Linked DNA regions of Coturnix japonica. The protein of the gene in region 2 interacts with the protein of the main gene of each other region in a biochemical or structural test. Links are inferred from orthologs where the notes say so. Each region holds a gene or a part of one and is shown on either strand. Other genes may lie near its edges.

Evidence for each region.
Region 1: the proteins of MC4R (region 2) and POMC form a complex in vitro, tested with the Homo sapiens proteins (2 studies listed by BioGRID). The link is inferred for Coturnix japonica from reciprocal best matches to the Homo sapiens genes MC4R and POMC.

What each region holds. Positions count from the first base shown.
Region 1 is NC_029518.1:96,193,770-96,200,055, reverse strand, and holds POMC (pro-opiomelanocortin), read right to left. Parts: upstream 4,995-6,286; 5' UTR 4,906-4,994; intron 4,319-4,905; exon of another isoform or gene 3,932-4,318; 5' UTR 3,892-3,931; coding exon 3,763-3,891; intron 2,951-3,762; coding exon 2,327-2,950; 3' UTR 2,086-2,326; downstream 1-2,085.
Region 2 is NC_029517.1:60,660,602-60,668,326, reverse strand, and holds MC4R (melanocortin receptor 4), read right to left. Parts: upstream 4,786-7,725; 5' UTR 4,106-4,785; coding exon 3,110-4,105; 3' UTR 2,764-3,109; downstream 1-2,763.

The sequences.
Region 1 (6,286 bases), on a different chromosome or scaffold from region 2:
GCTGAACCAAGCATGGAGCCTCCTGCACCAGGACTGCTATAAAATCCCATGTCACCTCTGGGGCAACCCCTTTCCTTCCAGCTGGACACGCTGCTTCTGATTTCACTACAGGAGGAGACACAAGGAGGATCTAAAACTCAAAACTGGAGGTGTGGGAGATGGTGCTGTGCACAGTGGGGGGACAGCAGGTAAACCCAGTGGTCGCAGTGGTGCTGCCTGTGGCCAATGGATTGCTTCAGCGACCACTCCTTTCTCTGCCCCTTCTTACTGTAGCTCTTCAGACAGTTACTTGAAGGTGTAATACCACGTTGACATCGGTTTGTTTTTTTTTTCACTCTGGTGGTGGGTGCAGTTTGCAGTTGCCCCGAGGCTACCACTTGTTTGTGTGGCTGTCATGTAATCCGGGTTTAGGAAATGACCTAGCTTAAGAGGACAGAAAAAACAAGGGTTTATTTCAGTCCCAGGGCTGGGATTGCAGTGTGGCTTTGCCAGCCCTGCCCAGAGCCTGAGGCTGTCCCTTGCCACAGCCACTCCTTGGGGTCCCCCCCATCTTTTTGTTCCCAGCCTGTCCCTTTTTATTTCGTTAGTCCCCCTGGAGTTTTGGCTGGGTGAAGTTGGCATTGGGAATGCAAGGAGGCTGCTTGACAAAGGAGGATTCACTCCCATAGCTGTGCAAATGAAAAACAGTAAATGTTTAGCAAAATGGAGTAGTAAAAGGAATTAACCGCCAGACTGTGTGTGCATGGGGGGGAGGGGATGACACCTCCAAACCACTTCAAACTCACAAGGAAGGTGGGAAGATGAGCACAAGGCTTGCTCCTTGGAACCTGGCTGCCATGGGGATGGCACAGGTCACGTCCTGGGGTTCCATTGCTTCTCAGGGATCCTGGGGCAGGACTGCACCTTATCCCCTGGCTGGGGGTTTCGGTGTGGTCTCCCTGGTCCCAGTGCTGCTGTTCCCTTGTTACATCCCCTATTCCCCTCCAAAAGCAAGTGCTGGCTGTGCTCAGCATTACATTTCAGGACCCAAACTCCACTTGTAAATGTCTCTGCAGATACACACACACAGTGTAAGTGATTTGTTTGTACATCACATTTAGTTTAGATACCGGTGTCTGTATAGATGACAAAGTATATTTCTATAAACTCAGCAGTTAGGTGCATGTGTGCGTTTCCATCTCTGTATTTCAGGGCACCGTGTTGTTTCTGTGTGTAGTTGAGGGCAGGAGGGGAGTGGGGCTGTGAAAGGGGCTGAGATGCCGTCGATATTTGCAGACGTGCCCTCCAATAAATGTTGGTGTTGCCACATTATGGGATCAGCTCTGTTGGCACGTTCGTGGCACCTGGTTTCTCTGTAAGGCTGGGGGAGGTGGTAGGGATTTGTTACTCCTGGCACAGTTGATATTTGCTCTTGAAGATGGTCCCAGATCCACAGCTGCTCCCCGCTTTCATTGCCCCTCTTTACCATGCTAAACCCCTCAGGTTTAGCAACATGACTTTATAGGTAAGGTCACTTTCTTTGGTACCTGAGGGTCTTCTGTGTTGCCATTTGATAGGCAGTTAATGAGTTTATCAGAGAGATCAGTACTGGGGAAGCTGCTGAGGGATGGGGGAGCCCAAATCCCTTGGGAGTAACCTCTACTGAAATATATCCCATCTCCCATGCACAGCCCCAGTGATGCCTTTTGGTCCCCGGCTGCAGGATTTGGGCTTGGAGTTACTCCAGATTTCACTGGTAGAGCCCTGGAGGTGTTGAAGGCCAGGTTGGATGGGGCCCTGCACAGCCTGGTCTAGTAGTAGATATGGAAGTTGGCAGCCCTGCCTGTGGTGGCGGAGTCAGGGTTGGAGCTTCACAATCCTCGAGGTCCCTTCCAACCCAAGCCATTCTATGATATGATTCTATGACAATCATTAAGGTTGGAAAAGACCTGTAAGATCATCAAGTCCAACTATCAATCTGTCCCACCAAACATGTCCCTGTTTGTTTTACCCCTTGGCAAGACACAGCCACAGAGACACTGCAGACACATAGATAGCTTGCAAAAATTATATATATATGTCTTTTTATTTAATTTTTTTTTTCTCTTTTAGAATTCTTTTAATCCATCATTTACAGTATTGTACAGCTTGGTGAAAATAGGAAAATGACCCAGCGTGAGCACTGCTCACATTGGTACGTTCAGCCCCAACCTGTTGCCATTTGGTGTCGGGGGCAGGAGGGTTTTGGAGTAGTAATTAACAACATAACGAGCGATCTGTGGATCTAAGTGACACACATGGCGGCAGGACACTAAAGCTGCGTGGGGCCGCGTGGGCTGGGCTCCCCTCACTGACCCTTCTTGTAGGCGCTTTTGATGATGGCGTTTTTGAACAGAGTCATCAGCGGGGTCTGGCTGTGCTCTAAGGTCATGAAGCCGCCGTAGCGCTTGTCCTTCAGCGGCGCATGCCAGCGGAAGTGCCGCATACGGTACGAGCCACCATCCTTCTTTTCCTCCTCACCCTCCTCCTCCTCTTCTTCTTCCTCCTCTGAGAGGCCGAGGGGGTCCCCGTCGGCCGCCATCTCCCTCCGGAACTCCATGGGGTAGCTCTCAGCTGACTCCTCATCCACACCATTGGGATACACCTTGATGGGTCTCCTCTTCCGTCCCACCGGCTTACCCCAGCGGAAATGCTCCATGGAGTAGGAGCGCTTCCCTTCCTCTCGCTCCAACCCTTCTCCATCTTCCTCCTCCCCAGCGGGGTGGTGGGGTGATGTGACGGGCAGGGCAAGGCCGGCCACCTCCTCCCTTTTGTGCCCTCCGCTGCTGCTGTTGCGACGGCCAAACTTATTCCAGCGGAAATGGCTCATCACGTACTTACGGATGCTCTCAGAGAGGGGCTGCAGGTGTCCATTGCCTGGGTACACGGGTGCCTCGGCCGACAGCTCAGCTCGGCACGCCTTGGCACACGCCTGCATGGGGTGAAATGGAACCGTAAAATCATTCTGCTTAGAAAAGACCTCTAAGATCACCAAGTCTGATTGCCAGCCCATCACACCATGCCCAGTCACGGTGTCCCCAAGTGCTGTGTCATGGTTCTGGAACACCTTTAGGGATGGTGACCCTAGCATCCCCTGGGCAGTGCATCACTGCATCACCTTTAGGGCAAGAAATCTTTCCTAACGTCCAACCTGTGGCCGCGTGCCTTGGTGACGTCCCCATGCAAGTGCCACTCTATGTGTCCCCCAGGGGGAGCATGGAGTACCCAACCCATTCTATGGGGATGTAAAAGGTGCTGGGGGGGAGCATTGAGTGCGTTGGATCCACAGAGCACACTCAGCCCCTGCAGAGAATTAACCATGACCACCATCCCATGACCATCACTCCCTGATTTCCTGATTCATCCCACGTAGGAGGGATGATATCCGTCCAAAAACTGATTTTACCCAACGTGAAGATGTTCTTTACAATGAAGGTTGTGAAGCTGTGGAACAGAGAAGCTGTGGGTGCCCCATACCTTGATGGAGTTATGTGCTGGGAGGTGTCCCTATGGCAGGGGTTGAGGCTGGGGGGGCTTTGGGGTCCCTTCCCACCTAAACCACTTTAGGATTCTGTGACTCTATGAAGCCAAAAGGCGTGAGCACACGAAAACCCTCAGATCACAGAGCCCAAAGCATCACTCCAACCTTACACTATGTCACCCAGCAGGGATGGCATCCCATCACCTCCTCCGTTTGGGTTAGAAAGCAAACCAAGCCCGGGGCAGCCCCACGCTCCCACTTACCAAAACTCCAGCCTCAGTGGCCAGGTCCTGGCACTTGCTGTTCTCCCAGCATGGGCCGCTGGCAATGGTGGGGTGGCACAGCAGCAGCCCCAGCACCACAGGCAGGCTGTAACACAGCACACCCCGCATGGTACCAGCCAAGGATGGGTCCCCAAACTGCAGAGGAGCGCTATGGAAACAAAGAAATAGTTAAAAAAAATAACAACTATTTGCCCAAATTCAGGGCTGCTGCTTCTGCTGGGATTTCATCCCCCTCCTTCCAGCCTTTTGTGGCTTTGCTGTCACCATCCTTTGCCTCCGAAATCCCAGGTCCTTTGTCACCTGCATTAACACCCGCCTTTGCAGGTGACAGCCGCTGCCATGAGGATTTCTGCCCCTCCTGAGAGCCACAGGCAAGCGAGTGATGCTGCAGGGGGAGAGCATGATGGAGCTGCCTGCAGGCTGCAGCCCCTGCAAACCCCCCTCAAGCTGAAATGGTACATGAAATAACATCAGATCATCGCTTGGGAAGCGCTCTGGGAGACGCTGGAAGTGCCAGGGATGCAGGCTGTGCTGCAGGGACTGCTTTGGGTGAGTCCAGACGAGGTGAGGGTTGTGGTGATGGTGGCAGTGCCAGGCTGATGTATCCACTTAACTTTGCTTTTGCCAAACCCAACTCTTTCCCAAGTTGTTTTTAACTTTGTGGGGACTCACGTGGTTCAACCTGGGAGTGCCAGGGGAGGAAAACCCCATCCCAAAGAATAGAAAACTATAGGCAAATTAATGAAAATCTCATCCTGCTCTTAATAGAGAGTGGGCAGAGTTTGGGCGTGGAGGTGCTTTTTGGGTCTTTTGCCCCAAAATCGTGGGAGCAGCTGCCTGGAACCTCCCAGCTCTGACACAGCTGTGTTGGATCTGCAACTGTGGGGCCACTTCTGTAACACATCAGCATGCAGTAACCCAAAAAAGCAGAGAATGAAGGGGGGGCAGAGGCTGGGGGGCAGGGATGCACGAAGCATTTCAGGGAAGAGGGTGCTTTATCCCCTTGCTGCCATCCTTCTAACCATGCAAACAACCCACTGCAACCAAGATTTTGCAAAGTTTTCCCCCTCCCATATCCCTAGAGAAGCCCTTCTGGGCCATGCTGCATCCCTGAGGTCTCACCTGCGGCTTGGGCTGGAGCGCAGCCACCACCGGTCCCCGTCTCCCCGAGAGCAAGTCTGCGACGTCCCTGCATCCCTGCTGCCTTATATACCCCCAGCGTCGCGCCGCAGCCGCCCTCTGGATGGCCCTTGGTTGGGGGTGGGAAAGGGAGGGGAAGGTGGGGACGGAGGGACCCTTCCAGGTAGCGAACAAAAGCAGAGCAGCAGTGAGCACGGCGCTGATGTGGCTGTGGATGGGATTAGCATCTCCCCGCCAGCCGCAGCCGGCCAAGTTTTCCATGCGAAGCTGTTAATTGCTTTCGGGATCAGAGGGGTCGGACGGAAAGTGCTTTGCTGGGTGTTTGGTGCAGGGGCATCTGTTCCTTATGATCGGGTGTGGGAGGGCTCCGTGCTCCGATGGGTGCTGGGGGTTTGGGGTTGGATTTTGGTGGAATAAAGGGTTGTTTTTAAAGAAACCACTTGGGATGGCAGCACACACAGCCCCCTCCTTGTGCACAAACCTCTGTTCTCTCTGTTCCACTGGACTGCTTTTGTCTGCAGATCCCTCTCCTATAGCAAGGAATCCAAGGCTTAGCAAGACTCATTTTCTTTAGGGCTCACCTGAGCTGTAAAATATATTGCTATAGAAGCTGCCAATAGGCTCCTCCAGACACCGAGACCAAGCAATGTGCAGGTGAGCAGAATGCTCCCTTCCTGCAATGGGATGTGGGTGCTCCCCTCTTGCAATGGGATTTGGATTCTCTCCTCCTTGCGGTGGGATGTGGGGTGCATGAGGTTGACATCACTGCTTTGGGATGGTGCACAAAGCTCCGTCACAGGTTCCATTTCACTTTGCTTCATGCCTTTCCCAGACCTCCAGTTCCCCCCCAGATCCAGGAGACCTCTGTGGCACAAGCAATTCATATTCCTTAACTGTATTATCTGCCTCCACCCTCCACGGCAGATCCCCTGCTATGCAATATATTTTCATGACGGAGAGCTATTCTGAATGCTTTATGGCCAAAAAGGAGCTATGATTCCCACTTTAAAAGCTCTTTCATCTTCATTAGGCCTCTCTGAGCCAGTTATTTTTATAAGGAAGAAATCTATTTAGGAAATAGGGAAACTTTGTTGAGGTGAGGCGTTGGGATGAAGAATGCCTCCACGCTCACCAGCCTTGATACAGCCCCCAAAGCTTGGTCTGAGTCCATCCTCTGAGCTCCCCATAGCCCAGAGCCTCAGGATGGTTGGGTTCCCAGCACCACGGCCAGGGGCTGTGGGGCACCCCCAAGGAGGACCCCCACACCTCTCCACTCCCTGTGCCAGGGCTTGAGCACCCACCCAGCACTGCAATGCTACTAATGGGCAGCTCTTGGGCTCCAGGCTGTGCCCTGTGCCCCTGG
Region 2 (7,725 bases):
AAAATTGAGTGAGGAAAATAATCCTCCACTTTCATCACTCTCCAGCAAACTAGATTAATATATTTACTTTTTGCAACACTAATTTCTATGACTCCCTGATGGAAAGTGCCAGATCTATAGGCAAACAGAAACTGATGCAGATATTTAGAAGGAAAAAATTGTCTGGGAATAGAAAAATTATTTATATAGCAGGTTTGCCAGCAATTTCAATAAATTGCACTCGAGAGATAATACCGTGAGCTGAAGAAGTCTTTAATTAAATTAAAGTCCATTAAAAAGCAGGTATATACATTTAGCTTTATAAAATGAAGACAGAAGAGATGTCAAGCAGTCTTAAAGTTGATAAAATTCTGCAATAAGCTAGTTCTTAAACATATAATTCTAAATGAGATTTAGATATTAAAGGGGTCAAAATTCTCTTTACTAATCTTAGTACAGGTAAATGAAAAAGAGTTGCAGAAGATTTTGGACACTACAAGAAAACCACTGATGAAAACCCCCAACAGCTATTAAAAGAAAAAAAAAAAACTTAATTCTCTCCTCTTTGGATTCAAAGCAGAAGATTCTTATTTTTAGGAATCAACTGAGAGTTCATAGCCTCTTCAGCATTCGTATTTGTTTAAATTAGGTATCAAGTGCTCGTATAGCCAAAGGAGAGAAAGAGTTACTTTCAAGGTAATTTTTTGAGCACCTGAAGTAACATCTTGTTCCGCCTTCTGCTAGCCTGTGTATGCATCCATGGGCTACAAAACAAATCTCTGGCACCTGCTATCATAATTTACAGAGCATAAGGCAGAACAAAGATCAACAGAGATTTTTCAGATAGGCAGCAGAATTTCTTGTGTTGTTGCCAGAGCATTTCTGCATAGCTAGCATCGTGTCTTCCGGGAGAAAGAAGTGCTTTTAATAAAGTCCAAGAGGATTCAAGAAGATTTCTGGACTGCCTATTAATTTTAATACATTCACATGTTCCCCCTCACTGAGCATTAATCCTCCTACTTTGGCATCTTTTATTCCCTAACAGGTAGAACCAGGTTGAGATGTATTACTGAAAAGTTTATAGTTTCCACACACACACACACACACACATACACACAGAAGTGGTCTTAATGTGTGTAGGTCACTCCAAATGGAATCTACAATAGTTACAAAGAGCACAGTAACACTATTTGATAGAGCAAATTCTCAGCTACAAAATGTGATTTTTCAACACAGTCACCACCATCAGCCAGTCTGGGTAGATGAGCTGGTTGAGGCACTCTTCATTTTGTGGTGACATATGTGCATGGCCATCTAAAACATGGCTTGTCTTTCATGTCACATTTATACTGCTGATTCCACTGCTGAAATGTGCCACCCTTCTCTTCACTGTCAAATTCACCATTTGGTCTCCATGTATGTTCAATAAGCACCAATGAATGTCAGCGGGTGCAATTTTTTCCTCATGGAGAAATGCAGTTTCACCCCTTTGATTCATATGCACTTCTGTGTCAGACACCATTCTGTCAGGCATCAACTAAATGCAATGGAATATTGGTTGGAAAGTTCAACTTCTGTTGCCATAACATCTGCCTTTAATGTCTTGGGCTAACCGAAGGAAATAAGAAGCACAACTTTCATCTCACTAATTCACTGTTTATCTTGGTAGAATAAAACATCCAGGCTTAAATGTAAATTATTCTTTACATTAAAGTTTTACTTTTCATGTCGAAACTTTCCAGGTCTTTTCCAGTTACTGCTCTATTTTTATACTTACCAAGAATAAATAAGTTGATTTTCCTATGTTTTTACATAGAAGCTGTTGTTGTCAAGTTGTTAAAGGATGTCTTCATGGGCTTTTGTGTACCTCTATCTGCATTTTAAATATTTTCAAGGTGCTTAAGTCAGGGACCTGCTTATTAAACATCTAAATTAGATGTCTGAAAAGGTGAACTGTCCTCAAGCAGCACTAACACACAGGGCTGCCAGATACAAAGCATAGATCTAGACACTTATCAGATTGCCAGCCTTCTTGTCCAGACAAGATTGCATGGTCCACAGTGGTGCCTGAGGTGGCCCCAAGTTGATACCTGCTTTCATTCCTCTGTAATAATCCAGGCAGTGGATCCCATCTAATAATGCTTCAGAAAAGAGAGCAGCTTGTTTCTAGGAAAGCTATATTTTCTTCCGAAGAACAGAGTCCCTGTTCACCACAGAACATCAGAATAAGGACTGAATGCTAAGGCTGATATCCCTTCTTCATTATCATCAGCTGAATCTCACTGCAAAGCTTTACACAGGTGCCAGCACTATCAGTATTAGTACTGCACCTTCTTCATGAGTGAACGGAGGGTGACAGCCTATCTGGACTCCAGTCTATTAAATATATCCAGTGCTAACTGATGCTCCAGGGAGTGTTCAATTTCAATTTCAAATTCAATTTCAATTTTGTGAAAAGGCACTTTCAGACACACAGCAATCATCATATTGAAAACCAAGATAAAACAAGCTTTCAATTGCCTGGCTAGCAAGTATTTGAAAAAATCCCGTTGTTGTAGGCAATAGCTGTAACAAAGAACAGGATTGCTGCTGTTGGAGTAGAAGGAAAAGCACATAAAATAAATGAACACAACTCCTTGATTCCAGTAATCTTCATGAAAAATCTGCCTCCTGATTCTAGTGAACCTTTAATACACTAATTGAGAAGCATAAGCTCTATTTTAAGTTGCACGTAACATAATGAATAGCTATAATCAGCAGAATAAGGAACATTGTCAACCAATATGCACTGTAACTCAGACAAATTCTTTATTTTGTCAGCAGTTGGAACATACAGCTGCTCGTATTTCTTAGTATTTCACAATCAGCATTACATTTATTTAAACACAAACTGCTATAAAGTGCTACTTTTATTCTGTTCCCAGCCAAGTAAATCACAAACTGTAGACATCACAAACACTACACAGAAATATGAATTACACATAAATGGGATACAAAGATGGGAGGGAAGGGAGAGAAAAAGAAGTGTTTGCTCTTAAACATGTTACCCAAGTTCTGATGAAGAAAAAGATTCTAATGGCTCAGAAGACCATGCTGTATTCTGAATACACAGTAACCTACCCTCGTCAGTCTAATATTTTCCAGGCAAATCACAAAACCCTCTCAAGCTACAGCAGCATATAATTTCTTTGAATGTTTTCCTGAGCTCCTGACTCCGAAATGCATAGATAAGTGGATCGATGATGGAATTACACATGATAAGGATGAGGTAGAAGTTAAAGTGGGACATGAAGCACACACAGTAAGGATTGTAGGGGCAGGAGATGTAGAAAATGAGGTGCAGAAAAAATGGGGCCCAGCACACAACAAAAACTCCAATCAGTATAGTGAGAGTGATGGCCCCTTTCATGTTGGCCCCTTGGCGGATGGGGCCAGTCCCTGGAAGAACTGCTATCTTCTTGATATGCATTCGAGCCATCATGAACATGTGAACATAAAGGGATGCCATGAGAATGAGCATGGTGAAGAACATACTGATAAGGCAGATGATGACAACGCTGCTGTCAGAGTAAATGATGAACAAAATGCCCGAGACAGTGCAAGCAGCCCAGATGCATGTGATGATGACCCCTACGCGCTTGACCGTCATGATATTATGGTACTGGAGGGCATAAAAGATAGTAAAATACCTGTCCACTGCTATTGAGAGGAGACTGCAAATTGATGCAAGCAGGGAACTGCAAATCACTGAGTCAATGACATTGTCAATGTTTATGGTAAAGCTCTGTGCATCTGTATCTGTATTGTTTAGCAGCGTGATGACAATAGTTTCTGATCCATTAGATACACTCACTAGCATGTCAGCCACTGCCAAGCTACAGATGAAGAAGTACATAGGCGAATGGAGGTTCTTGTTCTTGGCTATTGCCACAATGACCAAAACGTTCTCCAGCAAGCTGATGATGCCCAGAGTCACAAACACTTCAGGGGATACAAAGAGTTGTTCATAGCAGCCTCCCGAAGAGTGGCCCTTTGCACTGGGCTCGCTGGCACCCCTGTGCAGCCCGTTGCTGTGGTTCCAGAAGTGGAGAGGCTGGAGTGTCCCACGATGCTGGGTGAAATTCATCTTATGGAGAAACCCTTTCAGCTTCCTGGTTTTAAAACTGTCCTTGCATTCCTCTGAAATCCTCCTTTTCAGTTTGGGAAGAAAAGAAAAATAAGGCAGCACTGAAGCAGATAGTAGTTCAGAGCACTTTGTAAAATGAGGTTTCAAACTCAGAGATGCTGGTTTGCTCTCTCACAGATGCAGATTCTGATCACCATCACATCCATCTCGGTGGTCTGTATCACTGAATCCCAACAGTATGGAAGTTTGTATCAGATTCTCCCCTAAGTTCACTTCTTGCTTAGTTCACTATTATGCTGCAGGTCTCTCTCTCTCTCTCTCTCTGTTTTTTAACCCTTCCATTTGGAGAGGTAAATGTAAAATGCTCAAGTGACTGCTGCCGAGGAGAAACTAATTTCAAACTCTAAGCACCAGTCTCGCTGCCAGGCAGTGCATGCTGGCTGCCTGCTTTATGGTGTGTGGAGGAGAAAAATACTCTGCACTCTCCGCCTCTGCTTTGCCTTTCAGCCAATGGGACTCAGAGCTGCAGAAAGTCGAGGGGCTGCTGATTCTGAGCCTCTCTGAAACATCACACAGTGCTGCAGACTTGGATGCTGCACAAGCTTCCAGTAGCAACAGACAAGCAGAGGGGCTACAAGAGATCTATTTTCCTCCTTTAATTTTCAGAATAATATATTCATTCTGATTTTGTATTAGCAACCTTATAGCACTGTACTACCAGTCTTACAGAATTTCCTGAGCTGAACTGATGTGATTTTATATTTCAGACTGTGATTTGCCTCTTCTGTGGCATAAAGTTGCTCTGCCTCGTGTATCTGGCAAAACAGAAAAGGGATTAGGAAGCAAGAAAATATTTATGTCCTCCTGTCTCTCTCTCAGACCTCCCATGCATTGTTAACTTCTATGTGCCTCAGTTGTCCACATGCAAGACACAGTGTTGTAAGGCTGCATTCTACTGGCTACGCTGCTTGTGACTTTTAAGGAATGGAGACCATCCAATGACCAAAAACAGGGAAAGGACTTAATTAGCCCAATAAATCTTCCTAAAGAAAATAATTTTATCGCAGGTAATATTCTTCTTCATCATCTTATTTCCATGAAGGAGAAGATAACAGAGTTGAATCCTGAAGTCTTGTCACCATCAGGAATTAGGATGCTGCACAGGAAACAAACAAACAAACAAAAAGGCATTACTTAGAACAGATGAAGGAAAGCAACAGGAGACAAGGTTGTAGCTTATGCAAAATGTGGCTGAGACACAGGTAATGACAACAAGTCATGAATAAATCTAGGAAAATCCATCTAAATGTCTGTCCCTGTGTTTACCTGACATGAGCTGAAAGTCAGCTTGAGTGCAGCCTGACAGGGAATGCCCTTGAGAAGAAGTAGTAGAATGTCAGACAAACACAAAGAAACAGAGACAAAAGTTGTTTTAGTGTTTCAAGAAGTGCAATTAAAGACAGAAAACCAAATATATGAAAAGAAGCCTAAAGTAGAGGTGGATTTTAAAGTCACAAAAGCTATGTGAGAGTCACTTGTTACACTTGAGTGTAATTTTTGCAGTCATGTGGTTTGAATGACTATTTCCAGTCATCTAAGAGACAGGCTATGAAAGCGTCTGTATCTGGTGCAGGAGTCTGTATTCTTCACAAACATTTTTCATCTTTCATGCATTAGCCATTTTCCAAATGAGACACTCCAAAGAGACACAAGAATACAGCGTGCCTGTGAAAGCACAGCTATCTGTACTCAACATCCCAGCATCAGGATGAAGCACAGTTTTACTTTCATATTTGTATTTGGTTCAATGCTTACGAAGATTTGTATCAGGAAAAAAGCCTCAGCCAATTGTCTGTGGGCCCTCTCCCAGATAGATTACTTCACAGAGCTGTGATAAACAAAATAACTTGAGGCAGAGGAAACCTCATCTTTATAGTTTGGAAACATTATTCACCAGCAACATCCTTGCACTGAAAGAATAGTTTGCTGCTGAGAGGGCAAGACTTACTTGCCTACCAAGACATAATGGAAACCAGGACTCAAAAAGATATATTGTCTAGCTACTGGTTCCTGGGCTGGTATCTGTAACTCCTGTTAGATAGGACTTGTGTACATAACCCTTAAAAGCATAGTTACAACGGGAGAGCAGAGACAACAATACATAGAAAGACTGATGAATGAGAGCAGCATCTCACTAGACAATGTATTTTTCTGCACCTGCGGCCAAGATATACAAGCCAGAAGTGTGTCAACAGCAAGGAACACCAGGGAAGCAGCTGCTCAGCATCTCTTCCTCTATCACTCTTCATGTGGCCGACAGCATGGGGACTTCTAACCCTGCCTCACTTTGGTGGACTCAGTTCAGCAGAGTCTGGCAAGAGCAGAGAGAAGTTGCCTCTAGGAAACATTGTTCTGTTTCCCTCTTCTGGCTCTTCCCTTTCTCTACATATTATCTCTGTTTTCATCTCCAGCTATCGCTAGGGAGTAAATGTAAAGATAAATCATTAGCCTTCCCTGGCTAGAAGGTAGAATGTGTCATAGAAGTACTTCTTTAAATGAGGAAAGATGTATGTATGTCTAAACATTTCTATGGTAGAAGATGGATATATACCTCCGGCTCCCGTTTTACAAAAGCAAAACCATACAATTCTAAAATAGCACAAAGGAACTTTACTCTGTCATGCCTGAAAGTATACCAATATTTAAGATTTTTTTTAATGATGGATAACAGAGGTAATATGCAAAAACTGCTTCTTCAATTTTAAAAAATAAAGTTGAGCAAGTATTTCTTGCATGCATTGTAGGTAATGAGATTTTTAATACCATAAGAAAACTGCAGTGTCTGAAGAAAAAAAATAAACTAATTATGGTGATATATTAACACAAGCTCCGGTGCTTAGGAGAAATGAAACTTCAATAAAGATTTGATACTAGCCTCCCCTTTCAATATAATGAGGAGCCATGCAGTAAAGGATATTATTTTAACTAGTCTTTCAAAATGCCAATTTTAAGAATTCTTCCTATGTAATTTTCCATTGTCCTGTGTTGCATTTCCAACTATACTCCAACATCAACCTTCCATCATCTCCTCTTCACAACATTTTGAAATGTCAAGTGATTGTACAACAGTTGCTTTTGAAACTCAGAAGAAAGATTTCACTGGAGTCACCAAGTACATAATATACCAATAAAGACACAGGAAGAAAAGATGAGTCAGAATTAGGCTGCATTGGCCCACTGGAAAACAAAAAGAAAGGTAGAGTGATTTAGCATAGTCACATTCTCATTCAACGTCTGAGAATATTTGAATCCCATGTCCATGTTGCTGAAACATAGAGATGAGATTTACTATTTCAGTGTCTGTCTGTAGAAACAGAGGAGAAATGGTAAGAAACTCATTAGAAGGGAGATCCAAGCAAGTAGGTTATCAAAACAGTATTGTTTTCTATCGAGACTGACACAGATGTGAAGGTATGTATCAATACAGAACAGGCTATCATAAACTTCAGATACTATCCTACAACACAAGAAATACAAAGAATTAATACTGGTTTTGGATGTAATAAAGGTGATGCCTGTTGCAAAGAAAGTTCGCAAGGTAGGTCACTAGTTCTACAGCA